Linked DNA regions of Cricetulus griseus. The protein of the gene in region 4 interacts with the protein of the main gene of each other region in a pairwise test. Links are inferred from orthologs where the notes say so. Each region holds a gene or a part of one and is shown on either strand. Other genes may lie near its edges. The genes, in order: Rnf144a, Arih2, Dtx3, Ube2l6, Rnf144b and Rnf125.

Region 1 (3,500 bases), on a different chromosome or scaffold from region 4:
CAATTCTTTCGAAGAGTTGGAAGCCACAGTGGAAAGTGTAGTGACTAGAACATTCTGTAGCTGCACTGATGCTCTCCATGCCTGTTTTCCACAGTCGACGCTTCTTTTTTGAAGTTCCTTTGTCCCCAGACTCAACCTTCCATCTCCCAAGCCTTTGGTGATACCAGGTGACACTATACTCTGCTGTCTTGGTTTGTTTTCTGTGATAAGCACCATGACCAGAAGAGGAAGGGATTTGTTTCGTCTTGCAGGTTACGCTCCATCTTTGAGGAAGCTCTGATAGGGCAAGAACTTGAAGCAGACACTTTGGAGGAAGGCTGCTTATGGGCTTGCTCCCTGGATCTAGCTACCTTTCTCACACAGCTCAGGCTCACCTGTTTAGGGAGGGCAATACCCACAGTAGGCTAGGCCTTCCTACATCACTTGGCAATCAAGACCGTACCTCATAGACATGGCCACTGGGCAATCCGATTGAAGCAATTTTCCAGTTGAAGTTGGCTCTTCCCAAGTGATTCTAGGTTTGTGTTAGGTTGACAGTAGAAAATATGGCATGCTTCTGTGTTGATTCAGATGTCGGGTTAGTAGGTGTAGTCTTTGTTCTGTGAGCAGTTTTTGATGTAACAGAGATGCTTCAAAAATGATTGCTTATGCTATAACAGTCGTGTGTGTGTGTGTGTGTGTGTGTGTGTGTGGTATGTGGTGTGTATGTATGTGTGTGGTTATGTTTGTATATGGTATGTGGTTTGTGTGTATGTGTTTTGGTTTTCTTTAGTGTTTAACTCTCTGGTTCAGAATATATAAAATATATAATATCATATTATATATATTAATATATAATATATAATATAATATATAATAACAGGAAGTCACTGCATAGCCAGGGTGACATTGAACTCATTATTTTATTGCCTCATCCACCAAAGTACAGGAATTACAGGCCTGAGTCATCAGACCCAACTTAATGAGTTAATTGAGGAAGAAAAAGAATGGGAAATAAGACAAAAAACAAACAAACAACAAAAACAAACAAACAACAACAACAAAAAAGAGTCAGCCTTTGAGTTCAGCACTTTTACTCTGGGACTTAGTACTTCTGTTCGTAGAAAGTGGCCTTGGGTTGTGTTTAACTCCCCGGGGCCTCACTTTCCCTGTGGTGAATGGGAGTGATAACACCTCCCACAGTTTTGGATTTAGGACTCCTTATTGGGCTAACAGAGACAAAGTGACTAACAACAGTCTGGTATTTGGAAGGCATTTGATTAAAGAAAGATGATAGATATATCAGAAAGTGCGTCAGTTCCTGTCTGCGGGATGTTTATTTATTGTAACAGAAGTTTCTCTGGTTGTCTAATTTGTGTGTATTCGAGAACTCATTTTAAGACATCTTTTTGCCATTAGATTGGGAGACAAGGCTTGTGAGTCATGACCCACTTTACATCTGGAAGAGGGCCGTGGCTGGTTTTGATGGATGCAGGAGCAGACACTCTGTAGTAAACAAATCAATATTCCCACTACACAAGCACAGTGTGTGCTGCTCCGAGATGCAATTCACTGGTCTGCTGAGCTTGCTCTTGGGGTTGCAGTCACCCAGTGTGACTCACTGCTTATGGTCACAAGCAAGCCTTTGAACAGTGTGGTTATGAGAAGCTCTGAGGGCATACATTTCACACCTGGTTTAATTGTTCTTTATCCCATTGAGGGAGAATGAGGCTGGGTCATTATATTGGTCTCTGGCCAGAGCTGTCCAAGTTTTCTGAGTTCGGTTGTTTGGTTTAAGACATTCCAGGACCCTAAAGAGACTAAATTAGACAGATTTAATTATAGACAGTAAAGCAATGATCTCGTTGCTAAGGATTTGGGCTTTTTTATGCCTGTGACTGTAAAAGGCAAATCACATAGGCGGACAAATGAGACAACAGCCCCTGCTTATTTAGCTGCTATACCAAGATTTGTGCCAGGTGTTGAGATATTCTTTATTTCTGTCAAGAAAGCCTAGTAACTCAGGCATTCGGATTTTATCATCTAGAGAGCTAGGAGCCAAATGCATCAAGGATGTGTCCCCATGGCCTTGGTAGAGAATACAAGATTGCCTGAGTCTGTCTGACTCAATAGACTGCAGGGTCATGCTCCCTTTTCACATTGCCACCATGGACAGGGCATAGAATAGACCTTCACCACCAAGTCAAGAGTCAGCAGGTCAGCAATGCTGTCTAGGTTCCGGGTGGGGTGGCACTGTAGCCCTGGCAGGACTTGGTGATATTCCTATCTTTTCCTGATTACCTGCCCTCTCTTGTTTTGGGAAGGCCTCCATGGATGGCAGTGAGTTTGCTTCTGATAACTCCACCATCCTGTTCCTCAAACAGAACTCCAAAGCGTCTCTCATGTAGGTGGGCCATATTCTGAGCCAGAGTCCTCATCAGAGCCATGGCAGATGCCTCAAGCTAAAGGCTTCTGTTTATAGCCGTGGTTGCCAACCTTCCTAATGCTTTAATATAGTTCCTCATGTTGTTGTGATCCCAACCATAAAATTCTTTTCATTGCTACTTCATAACTTCTACTATTATGAATCATCATGTAAATATCTGATATGGAGAATATCTGATTTGTGGCCCCTGTAAAAGGGTTGTTTGAGCCCCAAGGGGGTCATGATCCTCAGGTTGATAAACACTGGCTTAGAGCCCAGGGCAATACTTTGCACATGATGTCAAGTCTCAGGAAAGTAGCTTTGGGAAGTTGGCCTTGGCCTCCCTCTCTGCTCCTTCCCTCCCTTTATCTTACCATTTTCCCTTCTTCCTTCCCTTGCCTTCCCCTCCCTTGCCCTGTCTTATCTTGCAAAGGCTGTTTTTCTCCCTCTGACCCTTACAGTCTTTCTGCCTCTTCTTCTCCAATGGTCCCCGAGCCTTGTGAGTAGGGATATGATATTGCTGTCCCATTTAGAGCTGAACATTTTAAAAGTCTCTTCCTCTGTGCACATTGGCTAGTTGTGGGACTTGTATTAATTACTCTACTGAAGAAACCTTTCTGATGAAGATGGAAAGATGCACTCCTCTTAGGGTATGATAATAAGAACCTAGGGAGAAGTTTAATATGATTTCTATTCAACAGAAGAGTAGTCATGGATTCATCCTTAGGACCCATGACCTAGACAACCATGTGCCATATGCAGTTGACAGTACCAAGTATGAGTTCCATCTTAATGACCATGCTGTAAATCCAACCAGGAACTAGTTGGTTATTCCTATAACATCCATACCACTATTGCCCCAATAGGCATATCTCGCCAGGCCAGTAGTTAAGGTAAGCTCTCAGGGTTAATGGCTATCTGTTTGCTTAACACATCACTTGGTCTTTGGTATTTTGGATGTGCACGTGTTTATACACTTTTCTTTCTTCCAGTGCCTGAAACAGTATGTTGAACTCTTAATCAAAGAAGGCCTAGAAACTGCGATTAGCTGCCCGGATGCTGCATGCCCCAAAAAGGGCCACCTTCAGGAGAATGA
Region 2 (2,632 bases), on a different chromosome or scaffold from region 4:
CTCTTCCAGAGGTCCTGAGTTCAATTCCCAGCAACCACATGGAAGCTCACAACCATCTATAATGATCTGATGTAACTCTTCTGGCATGGAGGCAGAACACTATATACATAATAAATAAATCTTTTTTAAAAAATATGACCTCGTGCAGTGGTGGCACTCAATACTTTAATCTCTGCACTCAGGAAGCGGAATCAGGCAAATCTCTTGAGTTCAAGGCCAGCCTGCTCTACAAAGAAAAGTTGAGGACAGCCAGGGCTATTATATAGAGAAACTCTTATCTCAGATGCATGTGTACATTTTATTGTTACTTTTTGGTTTTTCAAGACAGGGTTTCTCTGTGTAGCTTTGGAGCCTGTCCTGGCACTCACTCTGGAGACCAGAATGGCCTCGAACTCAGAGATCCACCTACCTCTGCCTCCCGAGTGCTGGGATTAACGCCCACACCCGGCCTTATTGTTACAAGTTTATCATTGTTATAGCTGTCGCTAATTATGCTGAATTTTGTTTTGTCCCCCGCCCCCTCCCCCCAGACAGGGTTTCTGTGTATTGTTTTGGAGCCTGTCTTGGAACTCTCTCAGTAGATCAGGCTGACCTCGAACTCACAGAGATTCGCCCGCCTCTGCCTCGAGAGTGCTGGGATCAAAGGTGTGCACCCCCAAAGGCTGATTTTTTTTTTTAATGGCTATGTAAATGTTCCATCTGTATTGCCTTATTGTATCATCATTTGAAATGACAGTTGTTTCTATTTTCACTGTCACAAATAAGACCAAGAAAAGTCTTTATGCATAGAGTTAGGGTTTCATATAGCTCAGGCTGGCCTCAAACTTGCAAAGTAACCAAGGAGGACCTAGAGCTTTTATCCTTAGTATTAGGATTGCAGGGATGAACCACCATACACAATTTACAATGTTGGGAACTGAACCCAAGGCTTTGTACATTTTGGTAGGTATTTCACCAACTGAGATGCATCCCTAGCCCTGATTTTGAGGGTTTGATAGGCTAGATGACTGGGGGAAAGTTAAAATGTTGAATGAATACCGTGTCTTGAGAATATCCCTTTTAACTTCACTTTTGCAGCATCTGTGTCCCATTATTTTGAGAATATCTTTTCCTTTGGCTTTAAGTTTCTCACCTTCCATTGGTGGTGGAAGACAAATATTTTCTTGCTGTTTGCCCCTCTCTTCTGGACCTCTTTGGATGTTTTCCAGCTCAGGCATAACGAGTAGTAGGCACTCTCAGGACAGTGACAGGCTTGTCAGTTGCTATTTCGAGCCTGAGGTGCTGCATGTACCCTCCATCTGCAGGCCCTGCCCGGCTACAGCCCCCTCTCCTTTTGACCCTCCTGCTCTGCCCATACAGTTTGAATACCAGCAGGCTCAGCTGGAGGCTGAGATTGAAAACCTTTCGTGGAAAGTTGAGCGTGCAGACAGCTATGATAGAGGGGTAAGTACCTTTTGCCCTATTGCAGGTAAGGAAAGGCACTCATACTACTAGGGGGTTGTACTGGGGATGGGACTTACGCTGCTGCAGTCGAGGGTGGAAGATTGATTTTTTTTTAGACTACTTGGAGCCCCTAATAACGATGGCTGTGGCTTTGGTTACTCTCTGCTCCTAGCATTGGGACTTGTAAACACCTGCTGTGTGTCCCTTATACAGGACTTGGAAAACCAAATGCACATTGCCGAGCAGCGGAGAAGAACCCTGCTGAAGGACTTTCACGACACCTAGGCAGGCTGTGGATGTGCCGGGGTGAGGAAGACGTAGCTGTGAGGCCTTCCGGCTACCACACTGCATGCTGCAGGCTCTGCCTTTCACGACCCCAGGCAACAGCCAGGCCCACTCCTGAGAGACACTGGCAACACACCTCTTAGTCAATTTGTTTTCTCCTTATCTTTTTGCTTTTTGTTTCTACCAGGGTAGAGGCCATGTTGAACTGGCCTCTAGTAAGGACTTTTAAATTCTCCCTGGATGGTTGTTGGGAGGGAGGGAACTTTTTTTTTTCCTGAATGGCTATTAATAGTATTAGATCATTACAACTTATGTAATTTTCAAAGGTTGTACGATTTGAAAGAAAGGCAAACCATAGGATAACACAGAGCCCTTTTGAAAATAAATTGGCATTGGAGTGTTTACCCTCTAGCTACTTTACTTAGAATGTAACTTGATGCTGCCCACCCACCGAGCCTCAGAATGTCTGTGCTGCCGGGGTTCCTGGGGTGGTCCCTGCTTTCCAGCATCCTCTTTGACGTTACCTGGAGTCCCAAGGGAAGAGTATGTGTGGCAGATGGTAAGGAACTGAGTTGGCCTGCATAACAGGCATGGAGCACAGAGAGTCAAGTACCTTCTGCCGTAGCTGAGCAGCAAGGGCACGGAGCATAGCAGGGTTTCACTATGGGCTTGCTTTTATTGAATGTGAGACTTAGTGAGTTGGGCCACCAATCCAGAACCCACGGCAGTGCAGAGGTTGGCATTCGAACCTCCGGACTGGGAGACTGGTGCTTCCTTTTGTCCTGTAAAGATGAGAGATCCACATTTGAAAGGAATTGTTCCCCCAAATAAGTTTCCTTTTCTTTGGTCGTTTCTTTTGATCCGGTATTTAAGTGGTGTACTCTGACCAGTGTCACATGTGGCC
Region 3 (4,234 bases), on a different chromosome or scaffold from region 4:
GCAGAGTCAGTGAGAGTTCAAGGCCAGCTTGAACAGCCTGGGCTACAGAGTAAGACATGGTCTCAGGAAAACTCAAAGAAGGTATGGGTTTGAGCATTGGAGATAACTCAGTGGATAGAGTGCTTGCCTAGCGTGTACAAAGCTCTGGGTTCCATCTCAGCACCATGCAAACCAGATGTGGTGGTGCACACCTATAATCTCAGCACTTGGGAAAAGAAGGCAAGGGGCATCAGGTATTCAAGGTCACCCTCAGTTCCATAGCGAGTTTGAGGCCAGCCAAGGATACGTGAGACTATCTGGGAAAACAAGATTCTGCCATGAGATAGACAGTCTTGTCTCTGCCCAGAGCCTTTGGAACCAAGACGGGCATTGTTGCTGTTCTGTTCCCCTTTAGACCTCCACACCCTGGGAGTGGGGGGTGGGCAGTAAGGGCACAAAGCTATGAGGTCCTCAGGGAGAAGCCCCCTTCTCACCTTTACACCAAAGGAAGCAGCAAAAGGCAGGCCCAGCTGGGGTGGGAGGGGCCTGCCTGCTGGGCCTCTTCCATCCATCCCATAGTCACCCTTTTCCCTGTTGATGCAATAAAGCCCCATGGCACCAGCAGCAGTTCCTTAGAACTGGATTCTCCAACCAAGAGGTTGTGTATTATGGGCAGAACGGTCATCTTCATTTATTGCTTCTGTTTTCCATCATTTTTTATTAATAAAAATCTCTATTTACCTGTATTTACTCCCAATATCACAATAAAATAAATTATTCGGTCCAAATCATTCACAGAAACTTTTTTCCCTCTGAAAATGTTGAGGGATCCCTGTGTTTACAGGATGCAGAGACCAAATGAAGAATATTGGTCTTCAAGGTGTTGTTGGGCTCCTGAATATGTGGGAAGTTTCCAAGATGGCTGTGGACTTATAGTTGTGGGGTGGGGTCATGGGAGTGGAAAACATTCCTCAACTTTGTGGGAATTCAGCAGTGATGGTGGCCAGGGAAGGGTAGGATGGTGCTGCCCCTCTTTCCCCAGTGCTCTGGCTACATCTCCTAACTTGAGTGGGCCTCTCAGCCTAACAGCTATTTGGGGAGGAATTCTCTGTTCACCCAGGCTTCCTGGGAAAGCTATCTACTTAGAGGGCAGGAGGAGTACAACAAGGTCCTGGGAAAGCGAAGGAGTGACCAGTCCTCCGGTTCGTGGGGGAGGGGATGGGAAGGGATGGATGACGCGGTTGTGGCTGCTCTGGGAGACTCAGGAGGTCTTGGCTGAGGTCTTGGCTGGTGGAAAAACCTGGCTTGATGTGGCCTCGGGGAAGAGAGTTGCAGGAGGCGGAGACTGTTCTGGTGAGAAGCAGGGCAGAGCTTTTTTTTCTTTGGGAATTTTTAACTCTTTTGAGCCACGTACTTGACAGCAACACCACCCCAAGCCTTTTTTTTTTTTTTTTTTTTTCTGTTCACTTCGCATTCTGCACCAACCTGTGTCCCTGTTTGTGGAAAGCTAGTCACCCGTCCCCATCTGGCAACAGGCTGTGGGGGGTCACCGGAGGTAACACTAGCAGGAGGGAGGGGATGGAAGTAGTTTAGTCACAGGGTTTATTGTGTAGTACCAGTGTTTTCCTTTTTTTTTTTTTCCAGAACTCTTCCCATACAACATTTTTTTTTTCTTTTAAAGCTCTTACAGCCTAAGATTTTAAAAAAAGACTGCCTTCCCCTCCAAATCCATACACCCACCGCACTGCTCACGCACCCATCCACTACCGGCTCCCAAAGGTGCCACGCAGCTGGCTGGGGAAGAAGAAGGGGAGAGGGCTCCTCCGGGAGGAGGGAAGCCAAAAGAGCGGCGTTTCTAAGGGATTTCACCTCCTACCCTCGGTTACATGACGCCACCCCTCCCTCCAAAGCCTGGATCTGCGCCTCCATTTTTGTTTTGGGGCAGAGAGGCAGGGGCTCCCGGGTAGCAGGAGGAGGGGACCAAGGGAAACGGTGATCATCACCCGCCCAGGGGAGAGGGGTGCTGTCCTCCCTCCTTCCTCTTCATCGGCGCCCCGGCTTCCCCTGCCACCTTCCCGGGGTCTTCCCCCGCCCCTTGTTGCTAAGGCCCGGACCGTCATCCCAGCAACAGCCTCAGTCATGTGACCGGCAATGGCGGCGCTGACGAGAGGTAGGTGAGCCCGGCGCCCCCACACCCACCGCGTGCCCCCCAGGCCCGATCGGCACCCTCGCGAGCCCCCCGAGCCCCTCCGTCCCCTCCTCCGCCTTTGACCTCCGGCGCTCGCTCTCCCGGCGGCGCTGCGAGCCGGCACCATCGGGGCCGGGCCCAGCATCATCCTGCCGGCACCTCCAGCCCTCGGCCTCCATTTGGGGGTTCTGAGGGCCGCAGTCGGGCGGACACACGCCCTCACCCAGCGGCGGGACTCCGGGGCTTCCTCGAGTAGGGATGCGGGAGTTGGCTTCGGGTTGGATGGATCTGGGGGCCAGGTCTGGGGGAGGAGAAGGGTGGGGGTGCCTCGGTGGACACCCCCCAGGGGACCCTCGCCCTTTCTCGGTGTCCCTGCCTGGGGCCGCTGCCCGGAGGGAGTCACTGGGCTCCTGTCCGGCCTGGTTTGCCTCAGAGGAATGCTAGACCAGACTAAACTGTGGCCCCGCCTCCTTGTGCTGTGCCAGCAGGGCTTGGAGCTAGGACACCGAGATCCTGGGTCCTCTGTGCCGGGGTGGGGGCATGCTACGGTGCACGGGCCATGTGGGCTGGGACTCTAGAGTTTCATCTTAAGGGCCCTAGGATGAAGGCACTGAGGGACAGCGGCTTCTTCTTTGGATGAGTCAAGGAATTGAGGTCACTGTTAATGGCCCCCTCTTCCTAATTGAGCCGCACTCCGGGAACAGCCCCGGAGCTGAATGTGACAGGACTCAGGGGGGAAAACGTGGGGGCCCTCTAGCTGAGCTCCTGCTTGAGCCCTGCCCCTCCTAAATGCAGATCCAAGAGCTGACAACAGCTCTGCAGGCAATGGGTTTAAAGGTGACAATGAGAACTTTGTTATTGCAGGGACTGCTATCACTTTGCTGGCATCCCTAACAGACTTCGCTCTCAGGGAAAGGTCCCCCGTCAACAACAGGGACTTGACTTATTTGAGAATGTGGAGTAAAGAAATGAGTTGAGGAACATAGGAAATATTTCTGTCAGTGTAGTCAATCTGAGGGAGATGGCAAGTGCAGGCTTCATCCCCAGGGCCTTTGTCTGAACCTAGGATCTCTCTTCCTCTGCACTGGGGTTGGTGGTGGTGGGGAGCTGGTCTGGTGAAGTTCCTGAGCAATTTGAGAGGCTGTGCCTGGAATTCTGCAGGGGAGGAGAGGCGATATAAGTGTTTTGTTTCTGGGCTGACTGAGGAAGTGCTATCATAACTCTCTACCTTCTTCATCCCCAGCTCTGGTCAGCTCAATGTGGAAGTAGAGAGACTTGCACCATCTCCCATGGTCTTTTCAGGTACCTGCACCCCCAGGGGACGCTCAGTTCATGTTCTTCCCATGCCCAGGACACTACTCCAGGTTCCTGTCTGTTTCAAAGGCTACTGAGTTGGGGCCTGTGGGGATTGGAGAACCTATTCTTACTTCCTTTTCTTTCTCATCCCACTAGGCCAACGGTCTCCAAGTAGCAGGGAAAAGGAGTGAGCCTGCATGCCAATCCTAAGCTCTTCCGGATCAAAGTGAGCAAAAAGTAGGGGAGGGAAGTCTCCCTTCTCATTTGAAAAGCCTATTTTTCTTTTCTATGAGGGGAAGGGGCAGGTTGCTGGTGGTCAGGGGAGAAATGAAAGAAACAAGTAAGGTTGGTGCTTGGTTTAGATAATGATAAAATATAGAAACTCTTGTTCCCCAGCAAGTGCTGGGACTATGGGAGAGAAGGGGTGATAGAAAAACAGTTTGCAGGAGGTATTGGGGGTTGGCTTTGAGGAACACAGGAGGTGATGTGAGGTTTGGAGGGAACCTGGAGTAGGAAGCACTTATATGTGTCAAATGGGGACACTCCCCACGCTGAGTCCCTTTCACCCTGGGGGCAGTGTCGTTCGTCCTGTCCAGAATGGCAGCCTGTGGAGGCACCTGCAAGAACAAAGTGACTGTCTCCAAGCCTGTGTGGGACTTCCTGAGCAAGGAGACCCCAGCCCGGCTGGCCCGGCTTCGGGAGGAGCACCGAGTGTCCATCCTCATAGATGGGGAGACTTCTGACATCTACGTGCTCCAGCTCTCCCCACAG
Region 4 (4,214 bases):
GTGGGGGGGAAGAGACGTTGAAAAGCATTCACACATTCAAGGCAGTGCAGTCCTCTGGGAGAATGAACAGATACAAACTAGTGGTTCTTGAGAATCCAGGGATACCTTTACCCACTAGAGCACATTTGCCAATATCTAGAAATATTTTCCATTGTCATAAATGGGGTGGGTACTACGACAGTTCAGCAGGTAAGGTTCACAGATGCTGATGAAACATCCTACAAAGAATTATCTGGTCTCAAGGGTCAACAGAGACAAAAGTTGAGAAATGCTTGTGTAAACACAGGGCCCTTCCCTGCTGTAAACTTTCGGTACTCCCTCTCCCAAATTCATAAACTTCCCACACTTCCTTCTATCTCTCAGCTTCTCTTCCACATCTAGTCACACCAGCAGATTGCTTCCTGTGCCCTCTACTTAGAGCCATGACCATTCATTTGCCTATTCTACCTAGCAACAAGGTAGAATTGCTTGGACAAGAATAAAGGCTTAGGTAGAACACAGATCTTGAGCGGACATGTTCTGGGCTGGAGATGCAGCTCAATTGGTAGTGTTTGCTTGGCATTCATGGAGCCCTGGGTTCAAGTCCCAGCACTGCATAAAACTTGATAAAGTGGTGCTCATCTCCGATCCCAGGACTTAAGAGATGGAGGCAGAAGAATCAAGAAACCAGAGGTTGGTCTGGTGAGATAGCTCAGCAGTTAGGTGCACTTGTTTTCCTAACTCTGGATTCAATTCCTAGCACCCACATAGTGGCTAACAACTATCTCTGAAACAATCAGTTACAAGGGATCTTGCCTCTGGTAGCACCAGGCATGCAGATGGTTCACAGATAATACATGCAGGCAGAATACCCACATACATAAAATAAAAATAATAATTAAAAAAATTAAAGGTCATTGTCAGCTACATATCAAGTTTGAGGCCAACCCGGACATAAAACCCTATCTCAAAAACAAAAACAAACAAAAAATCGAAGGGGAATTTTCTCTTTTACCACTGGGAATACTCGGATTTTTTGTGCTTTGGTGAATTCTGTCATGACTTTCCCATAATTGCTGAAATCCAAGCTAGGACACACAGCTCCTCCCAAAGTCTGCTAGTAAGTCACCTGATTTAGAGGAAATGAAAGTGAAGACACAAAGGCGGTTAAAAGCCCTGTGAGTTAGAGCCTCGTCAGTCTAGGCTCCAATTCCAGACCCATCACTCCTGCTGAATATCTGAATAGCACTGGTCACTCATGCTACTCTCTCTGATATCTCGGTGTCCTCCTCTGTAAAATGGGAAGTCATAATTATCTCACAGAGTTGCTATAAAATTAGATTTAAAAAATGGCCTGGCACTCAGGATTCTGGAGCAATACAAGCAAGTTCATCTCTTAGTGTTGAGGTAGCAAGGACCCTCTGCCCCATTGTGCTCCAGCCTCCAAATTTTAGTTCTGGGATGGGCCTGCTCTGGCCTTCTCCACCTTAAAGAATTTTCCTTTATGGAGCTGAGGACAGCAAACATCCCTTCTCACCGCAAGAAACAGTTTTTCCCTAAATTCTGCAGACTAGAGGGGACCTTTGGGGAGATCCAAAGCTTGGGGGTGCCAGCTCCCGCTCACCGGCGTTTCTCCTCTACGGTCTCCAATCGTGGCTCCAGCCCTCTAGACATTCCTAAGGAAACTGCCACCTTTCCATTTTTCCAGGTAGTATTCAAACAGTGAGTGTCCCAGATAGAAATGAACACTCAAAGGTGATAAGATTTTTGTTCCTAGCCGGGTGATGATGGCACACACCTTTAATCCCAGCACTCGAGAGGCAGAGGCAGGCGGATCTCTGAGAGTTCGAGACCAGCCTGGTCTACAGGAGCTAGTTCCAGGACAACCTCCAAACCACAGAGAAACCCTGTGTCGACAAACAAACAAAAGCAAACAAACAAAAAAGATTTTTGTTCCTTTTCTTCTCCCTGCCACCTGGCACTGGACTAGTAGAAAACAGGCATTTAGCATCTGTAGCGGACTGCATAAAAACCTACTCAGGGCATATTGATATTTTTTATTCAGGAACTATTCTGTATACTTTCATTCCAGGGACCGCCCATCCCCACCCCACTGCCCATCCACATCTCTAGCTTCTGAAAGTATCAAATTATGGGTCCACCCAGTAGGTGGCGCAACAGAACTCTGCCGGTGCCTGAGATACGCCCCACTAATAAACTTTCAGCGGAATTGAAACTGAAACCAGTTTGGGGAAGCTAATTCATTCTCATACTCACCCCACATACACACCCCCTAATACAACTCGGAAAGCTGGTGACAACTCTGTCTTGTATGTCCCCCATCCTGGCCCACAAACTCCAGCCCTACACACACACACACACACACACACACTCTCATACACACACGGAGGGAGGTAGAGGCAGAGGGAGGGAGGGAGGGAGGGAGGGAGGGAGAGGGAGAGGGAGAGGGAGAGGGAGAGGGAGAGAGAGAGAGAGAGAGAGAGAGAGAGAGAGAGAGAGAGAGAGAGAGAGAGAGAGAGAGAGAGAGAGAGACTCCGCCCACTCCTTCAGTGGGAGAGTGGGAGAGGGTGAGGATGCCTGGGTTTCAGCCCACCCTAGTACCCCTGATAAACAAAAGCACTCAAAGGTCAGCCGGGGAAAACCGAGGGAGTAGAGCTTGGGGTCGGGGATCACTAGAAAGGCGCTTACCTTCGCCACCCGTTTGCTGGCTGTCATCTTGGGTGGGAGTGTGGGGCAGCAGCAGACTCCCTCAGGTCACCGCTCTCGGAACCACAGCTCCGGAGCCCCACCCACATCTGCTCCACCCACAGGGACTCTAAGACGTGCTCCCCATCCCAACGGTGGATACCTGAAGGGCGCGGTCAAGTGCCCAGATCGGTGGTCTTGAATCCCAGAAACTCAGCTCTTTGTAGATAGGAGACTAAGTCCGCGGAGCACACTGCTCCCCTTGAGGGACATCACGCAGGAGCCTTGATGGAGTACATCCCCAGCCTTCATTAGCTTCCTCCATGCGGAGAACACACTCGCCAGAGATACTACCTTTGCAAACTTAGTTCTACTGCAGGTCTCTCTGACCTCCGGCCTAAGCCTTACCTCCAGAAAGATTCTCAGAGCTCTGGGCCAGGTCACTTTGCCTTTGTGGGCCCAGTGCCTCATCCAAAAAACGAGTGGGGACAGTGTAAACTGTATGCCCCCCAAGTATCGCTCCCTTAGTTGAGTGGGATCCTAGGTGCAGTGCAGCAATTGGGCCGAGATGCTACGATAGATGCTTCTTTTAGGTTGCTTGGCGCTGAGCATCACATGTGGATGCTGTTGGACCCATTCTCTTTTAGTTTTGGATGCTCTGTCGACCTAGAACACCTAGAAAGTGCCTACTGTAAGGCGATTTGGGAAACCGATGGGTAGGAGAAGCCTTAAGATAGAGTTCAGGAGCCTATTGTATTTTACTGCCAGCCGATTACAAACTATGGACCTACGGAGTGTCCTTATGAACAGTCAAAAGAGTCTCCACCCCTCTATGCAGGGGCAGAGATGCCTTTCCCTAGCCCAAGTTGAGACCACCATGTAATTAATAGCAGCCGCCCCCGCCCCCAATATTGAACAGCATCTAGGAGAAATTCTGCTGCTGTGATGAAACTAGGGAGGAGTCCACCTTCCCCACCTAATCCCTTGCAGTCCAGAAATTAGTATATTTTGAACCCCAAGTTTTGACCCAGTATGCCGCATGATTTTTTTTTTCTCTGTCAGGGATCCATATGTCTGCTTTGCTTCGTTTGCCAATTCTGTTTATTCAACCCAATAACTTTAACCAGATACCCCCTAAGTGATGGCAATGAACAGTACACCATCAGCAATTCCCTAAATATAGGTAGGGGATGAGGGAGCAGGGCACTTGAACCCATTTCTAGTTAGTCTTAAACAAGCACTTAATACCGAGTGTCAAGCACCATTTTAGGGAACACACCAGGCTGAGAAAGTGTGGTGTCTGTCGTCAGAGAAACTCTCAGGAAATTGAAACACAGAGAATTCAGCCTCTGAATTTTTTGTATGTTTGTAGTTTTTTGAGATAGGATCTCACTGTGTAGTCCTGACTGGCCTGGAACTTGCTGTGGACCAGGCTGGCCTAAAACTCAAGAGATCTGCCCACCTCTGCCTCCTGAGTGCTGGGATTAAAAGCCTACACCACCATGCCTGGCTTAGTCTCTGAATTTTTA
Region 5 (2,464 bases), on a different chromosome or scaffold from region 4:
GCTTCCCTTCCCCATTAGCTGTCAGTTGGTGGCATTTCTCACGTCAGGCATGCTCCTGGCTTATGGTTCTCATGTTCCGTGCAAACCTCTGCTAGAGCTCACTGTCAGTTACCTGTCGGAGATGGTTGATCGGGTCATTCGGTTTTCTGTTGCCTCAGCCAATAGTTTGTTACGATTTGTCTCCTGGGTGATTTACAGAGCTGCAAGCCAAGCTGAAGAGGACGGGTTGGGATTCCTAGAAGAAGTCATTCATATCGTTAGGTGACCTGTGCACCTAATATCCACCTCTCGACTCCACTTTGTGCACTTACTGAAACTCCTCTCTTTGTGTTTCAGAATGACATATTCCTCAGGCATTATGACAAAGGGCCATGCAGGAATAAGCTGGGCCACTCGAGAGCATCGGTAATGTGGAACCGAACACAGGTACCCTCCCTCCTCCATGAGATGCATTGGACTTAGGTAGCTTCCTTGCTTTCCCATGCCCTCTTGGGAGGTTCTGGTACAAGGAGAGAGAGAACAATGGGGCAGCCCCCTGAAGTTAATTCAAGAGCACAATTGCTGAGGGACAGAGGCACCAGAGAACTGAGCACTACAGTGAGCAGCCAAGTGAATACCCATGTTCTTTGCTCTTGCAAAACATGGGAGGAGTTTCCTCCAAGCAGTTAGAGCACACCAGCCATCAAAGGAGAGTTCCCCAATACGATGGGCTCCTGCCGGGCCTCGGATCCCTCTGTACATGTCATTGTGTGTTTATGTGGCAGGTTCAAAGGGAGTTGTGGTTTGTTTTTTAATAGTGTTTTGTATTTATCAAAGGCTATGCTCCCTTTGAGGAAACCAATGCTCATATCCTAACAAACATTATTAATGTCCCTGTGAGACTGTTAGAGAAGCCCTGATAGAGAACGAGCCAACACCCACAGTTCAGGGTTTGGAGTTAACCGTTAAGCTTGAGTCAGCCTTTTGTTTGTTCCCTTGATTTAGTCCTTTGTGGCTTTGTAATTTGTGTCCAGTTTAGAACATTGCTAAATGTGCCTGAGACAGCATCCTAGTCATTCATCTAACAGACTATTTATTATAGACCGGGTGACTGGAACAACAAAGATGGCTTCTTTCTAGTTGTGGATGCTGCAAGTCTGAACTTCGGGTATCAATGTGGACGGGTTCTGCTGAGGGTCCTTATGTTAGACACTTGTCTCAGGACTTAAAGGAGCAAGAGTTCAATTTGGCTCATGGTTTGAGGACATATGGTCCATCATGGTGGGGAAGACATGGCAGAGTTCACGCCAGTGGAACTTGAGGCTGGGCCTCCTTATGTCTTAGCAGAGCAGGAATCAGTGAAAGGGGAATACGAGCATCCATCAGGCTTTCTTCTTTTTTATTTTTGTTATTCAATCCAATGCCCAGCCCATGGGATGGCATCACACATTTTCCCTTCTCAGTTAATCCTGATTAAATGTGCCCACAGACACATTCAGGGGTGTGTTTCTTAGATGATTCTAGATCTAGATATGTTGGCAATGAGGCGTGACACTCATGGCACTCCTCCTGTTCATAGATGATAGTTTTATTGCTGTGTTCTCCCACGGCAGAAAGCTGAGAGTGGAGGAGAACTCTTGAGCTCCCTGGTACCACCAAGGCTCCAGAGTCTCAGCTAGGGCTCCCCTCTCCAAGTGCCATCACACTGAGCATGAAGGTTTCAACATGGGGATTTGGAAGGGGGAGACACACACATTCACACCATAAAGGCCATTACACTTGGAAGCATGTACACATCCACGATGATGTAACTTCTGAAACAGGATTTTCTCTTCAATTTATAGGTGGTAGGGATCCTTGTGGGATTAGGCATTATTGCCTTGGTGACTTCACCCCTGCTACTCCTGGCCTCTCCATGTATAATCTGCTGTGTCTGCAAGTCCTGTCGAGGCAAGAAGAAAAAGCATGATCCATCCACAACTTAGTTACCTACACAGACATCTGGGTTATATGAGACAGCGCAGCGATAAAGCCCCACTTAGCAACCTTGCCTCCTTCTCCTTGCCAAACTTTGGAAGTGCCTCTGTGTCCAGACCCTGAACTTGCCTGACAGCATTCGGTGTTGGAAAAGGCCAAGTCCCGGGTGCCAGTGTTCCTGCGTGTCGAGATGCAACAGTCCAGACTGTGTCTGTGGAGCAGGCTGGGAGCTTCGCCCTTGCCTGGGAAACTCTTAACGCATCACCATCTTGCCATCCAAAGGATCCCACCAGGCTGCTCATCTTCCGTCCAAACCTAAGGAGCCTGGATGAATATTCAGTGTAATAATGGCATTGCTGTGCTTGGTGGCATTGCAAACTGAGCAAAAGTCTGTGTTGATTCCACTGCCACGAGTCACATGGCAGAAGCCAAGAGTCAGAGGGGAAGGATAAGACTAGCATAGTAAGAAGTTCTATGAGCAATAGAGCTGGCTGCTTATCTCAGGAGT
Region 6 (3,500 bases), on a different chromosome or scaffold from region 4:
ATTTTGTGCTAGGCATGTATGCACCTTGGTACCCAATAGCTGTTTGTCTCTGACTCAAGCTCCTGGAAGATGCATTCCCAGCATCTCTGACTCCTTAATGCACAACCATGACCATGCGCTTGTTATGCTATGACTAATTGCTGGTTTTGGCTTCTGTAATTTGCTTGTACAGACATTCAAGAACTATTTTGAGGTCACCTCGACCATCTAATCTTGGTACAGCAGAACATTTTTTGTGGATGTCACCTTTAAAAGCCCTTCCCTCAGCTGCATCTTCGAGGCACATCTCTGATTTGGATGAGAGATTGAGTCCCTTTAATAAATTTGTTTAATTATAATTGACTCTGGGGTCTTTTCCCAGTGGTCTCAAACTCTACAACACCACATTAGGTGGCTCACAACCGCTAGGGAATCTGATGTCCACTTCTAACCTTACTGGACAAACACCCCCCCACCCACAACATACACATAGACATAAGTAAAAAGTAAATTAAAACCTTAAGATTTATTTATAAAAGTAAAAGAAAGGAAGCCTTGTCAGATCAGGATGTTCTCTACATTTCACACATACCTGGAATAAAGTTTACACATCCCTGCTAGTTTTTTTTTTTGGGGGGGAGGGGGGTCACAGTTGAATGACAGTATTTTCCTAGAATGGACAAGACCCCAGGGTGAATCTCTAGTACTGGGGAAAAAGAAGGACATTCCTAGGATTCAGAATACTAACAGTTCTATTAATTACTGATTTACGGACAGAAAAATTTCAACAAAATCCTCTTCTTGCTTCTTTATGCATCAAAGTGAAATTTAAGCTTCATATCAGCACTTCTATAGGTAAAAACAAAATGTAGTAAGAACCCTATCCCTCTCCAGTTCCTCTCACTTCTAAAACAAAAGGTGAAATTGCTATTGGAAGTTCAGTCTATGGTTTTAGTTTGTTCATTGAGACAGAGTCTTACTGGGTGGCTCTGGCTGGCCTGGAACTTACTATGTAGCCCAGGATGTCCTTGAACTCACAGAGCTCTGCCTGCCTCTGTCTCCCCAGGGCTGGGATCAAAGGTGTGCACCACCACAGCTGTTGAAAGAAGACTACTTCAATATTAGTAGTGAATGCTACTCTACAGACATGACATTCTCCTTAATGCTAATGTTAATCTATACACTTTCCTACATGCTCAATTTTTTTATAATTTTATTCATGGGGAGTTTTAAAAGTAAGCTTAACAATACAAAAGCATAATGTAAAAGGTAGAAATATACTTACTAGGAAATCATCATAAAACAAAGTGTGGCTGACTTGCAAATGTCTAATTAAGCTGCCATTGAAGGTACTTGGGCTCTCATTAGGTAGTAAATGGCAAAGCGGGCAGAACTAGAAAAAAAGACCAATAAATAGTTTAAATAATTATTAATCCCAGAATTTTAAAAAAGAAGTCACTATTGAATGTGAATTTTAACTATGAATCCATTGGGCATACCTCAACATTGCATTTTGTTTGCTTAGTTTCTGTAGGAGTGATGTATACATGTGTTCTTGTGTTTGCATGTCATGTACAGGGTCATGTCTGTGCATGTTCATGTGAAGGTCAGAGGCCAGTGTCAGGTGTTTTCCTCAGTTCTCCACCTCATGATCTTAATTTATTTTCATTTTTTATTTCCACTGTATTTAAGGTGCCATACAGTTTTTAAGGATTTTTTTTAAAAAATGATTTATTGACTTTTATGTGTATGAGTGTTTGCCTGAATATAATATGTGTACCATATCCCTGCCTGGTGCCCATAGAACCCAGAAGAGAGCATTAGATATTCTGAAACTGAAGTTATAGATTGCTGAATGGTACCACATAGGTGCTGAGATCTGAACCTAGGTCCCCTGCAAGAGCAGCAAGTATTCTTAAACACCGAGTCATCTCAATGTTTCTCAATTGAGAAGACAGAGCTTCTCAATGAACCTGGAGCTAAGCAATTAAGCTAGGCTAGCTCTCAGTCCTGGGACTCCAGGTGGGTACCACACCATCACACTCAGATTTTAAGAGAGTGCAGAGAAACAGACTTGGTCTTCCTGTTTGTGTGAGGCACTTTACTGACTAAGCCATCTTCCTAGCACTGTTTTGTTTTGTTTCTCATAAAGTTCTCAGGCTAGCTTTGAATCTACTGTGGCCAAGTCTGACCTTAAACAACATTCTACTACTACACTTGGCTTCATATCTCAATATTAAAAAATTATATTTATAGTCAGGAAGATCTCTGTGAGTTGAAGGCCAGTCAGGTCCACAAAGAAAATTCCAGGCCAGCTAAGGCTGCATGGTGAGATTCTATGCATTTATTTTTCTCATCTGAATATTGTTTTCTTTTCTTTCTTTTTCTTTTTCTTTTTTTTGTTTTTGTTTTTTGTTTTTTGTTTTTCGAGACAGGGTTTCTCTGTGTAGCTTTGGAGCCTATCCTGGCACTCGCCCTAGAGACCAGGCTGGCCTGGAACTCACAGAGATCCACCTGCCTCGGCCTCCCAAGTGCTGGGATTAAAGGTGTGCACCACCAACGCCCGGCTGAATATTGTTCTCTTAAGAATTAAAAATAAATTACAGGGCTTCACTGTTGTAGACCTGCCTATCCTAGAACTCACTATGTAGACCAGGCTTGTCTTGAACTCACAAAGATCCACCTGCTCTGCCTTCCAAAGGTGTGTGCCATCATGCCCAGCAACACAACATTACATAGAGTTTCTTGGGGTTGGTGAAATGCTCTTGGGTAAAAGCACTTGACACCAGTTGTGCCAAAAGTACTCTCCCAAAAGACTCCCCAAAGTTCTCTCATCTCCACAGGAGAACTTGGTGTGAACACACAGATAAATAAATGTAGTAACTTTAAAAATTAGAAAATAAGTAAGTGCTAGCACAGAACTCACTGTGCAGCCCAGACTGGCCTCAAACCTGCAGCATCTGTTTTTCCTTACCTCCCAAGCACTGAGATTACAAGCACGACCCAAGATGCCCAGATTCTAATATATCTTAAATTCAGACACTATATTCAGACAGACAGGTAATAGGTAGGAATCATTACCACAGGCCTCCTCTCTGATCTATGGTGGGTAATGCAATGATCCAGCAAAGAGTCTTCATCCAGTTCCCTCTGACAGAATGGACATACACACCTGGAGAGAGCAGAGAATGAATTACAACCACTAAAACAGTGGTCAAAATAGAATAGCCACCTAATTAGAAATTTAAAAAACCAACAGACTGTACAGACTATAGCTAGGTTAGTATCTTTTCTGTGAGGGGGCCGGGGTGTCTCTATGCAGCCCAGGCTTACCCTGGTCCTCCTGCTTCTAGCCCCTAAGTGCTGGGATTATGAGTATGTGCCACCACATGGCTTGCTTTTCTGGTTTGTTAGTTTTGAGACAAGAGACTTGCTATGTAGTTCAGGCTTTCCTGAACCTCTCAGCAATCAATCTGCCTCAGCTTCCTTGAATGCTGTAGTTATAGGCATTTGTCACCATA

Evidence for each region.
Region 1: the proteins of Ube2l6 (region 4) and Rnf144a interact in a two-hybrid assay, tested with the Homo sapiens proteins (2 studies listed by BioGRID and IntAct). The link is inferred for Cricetulus griseus from reciprocal best matches to the Homo sapiens genes UBE2L6 and RNF144A.
Region 2: the proteins of Ube2l6 (region 4) and Arih2 interact in binary tests that used the Homo sapiens proteins (3 or more experiments, as listed by UniProt). The link is inferred for Cricetulus griseus from reciprocal best matches to the Homo sapiens genes UBE2L6 and ARIH2.
Region 3: the proteins of Ube2l6 (region 4) and Dtx3 interact in binary tests that used the Homo sapiens proteins (3 or more experiments, as listed by UniProt). The link is inferred for Cricetulus griseus from reciprocal best matches to the Homo sapiens genes UBE2L6 and DTX3.
Region 5: the proteins of Ube2l6 (region 4) and Rnf144b interact in binary tests that used the Homo sapiens proteins (3 or more experiments, as listed by UniProt). The link is inferred for Cricetulus griseus from reciprocal best matches to the Homo sapiens genes UBE2L6 and RNF144B.
Region 6: the proteins of Ube2l6 (region 4) and Rnf125 interact in a two-hybrid assay, tested with the Homo sapiens proteins (3 studies listed by BioGRID and IntAct). The link is inferred for Cricetulus griseus from reciprocal best matches to the Homo sapiens genes UBE2L6 and RNF125.

The regions. Positions count from the first base shown.
Region 1 is NC_048600.1:29,099,032-29,102,531, reverse strand, and holds part of Rnf144a (E3 ubiquitin-protein ligase RNF144A), read left to right. Parts: intron 1-3,396; coding exon 3,397-3,500. UniProt on the Homo sapiens protein: E3 ubiquitin-protein ligase which accepts ubiquitin from E2 ubiquitin-conjugating enzymes UBE2L3 and UBE2L6 in the form of a thioester and then directly transfers the ubiquitin to targeted substrates.
Region 2 is NC_048597.1:216,779,009-216,781,640, reverse strand, and holds the end of Arih2 (E3 ubiquitin-protein ligase ARIH2), read left to right. Parts: intron 1-1,304; coding exon of another isoform or gene 1,305-1,337; exon of another isoform or gene 1,338-1,359; coding exon 1,360-1,443; intron 1,444-1,656; coding exon 1,657-1,728; 3' UTR 1,729-2,132; downstream 2,133-2,632.
Region 3 is NW_023276806.1:130,519,644-130,523,877, forward strand, and holds the start of Dtx3 (probable E3 ubiquitin-protein ligase DTX3), read left to right. Parts: upstream 1-1,434; 5' UTR 1,435-1,534; exon of another isoform or gene 1,535-1,555; intron 1,556-1,660; 5' UTR 1,661-2,149; intron 2,150-3,410; 5' UTR 3,411-3,469; exon of another isoform or gene 3,470-3,531; intron 3,532-3,619; 5' UTR 3,620-3,688; coding exon 3,689-3,689; exon of another isoform or gene 3,690-3,699; coding exon of another isoform or gene 3,700-3,700; intron 3,701-4,040; coding exon 4,041-4,234. UniProt on the Homo sapiens protein: Regulator of Notch signaling, a signaling pathway involved in cell-cell communications that regulates a broad spectrum of cell-fate determinations.
Region 4 is NC_048599.1:90,735,785-90,739,998, forward strand, and holds the start of Ube2l6 (ubiquitin/ISG15-conjugating enzyme E2 L6), read right to left. Parts: upstream 2,801-4,214; 5' UTR 2,716-2,800; coding exon 2,689-2,715; intron 1-2,688. UniProt on the Homo sapiens protein: Catalyzes the covalent attachment of ubiquitin or ISG15 to other proteins. Functions in the E6/E6-AP-induced ubiquitination of p53/TP53. Promotes ubiquitination and subsequent proteasomal degradation of FLT3.
Region 5 is NC_048596.1:266,980,782-266,983,245, forward strand, and holds the end of Rnf144b (E3 ubiquitin-protein ligase RNF144B), read left to right. Parts: intron 1-336; coding exon 337-426; intron 427-1,823; coding exon 1,824-1,964; downstream 1,965-2,464.
Region 6 is NC_048595.1:216,036,427-216,039,926, forward strand, and holds part of Rnf125 (E3 ubiquitin-protein ligase RNF125), read right to left. Parts: intron 3,152-3,500; coding exon 3,061-3,151; intron 1,373-3,060; coding exon 1,265-1,372; intron 1-1,264. UniProt on the Homo sapiens protein: E3 ubiquitin-protein ligase that mediates ubiquitination and subsequent proteasomal degradation of target proteins, such as RIGI, MAVS/IPS1, IFIH1/MDA5, JAK1 and p53/TP53.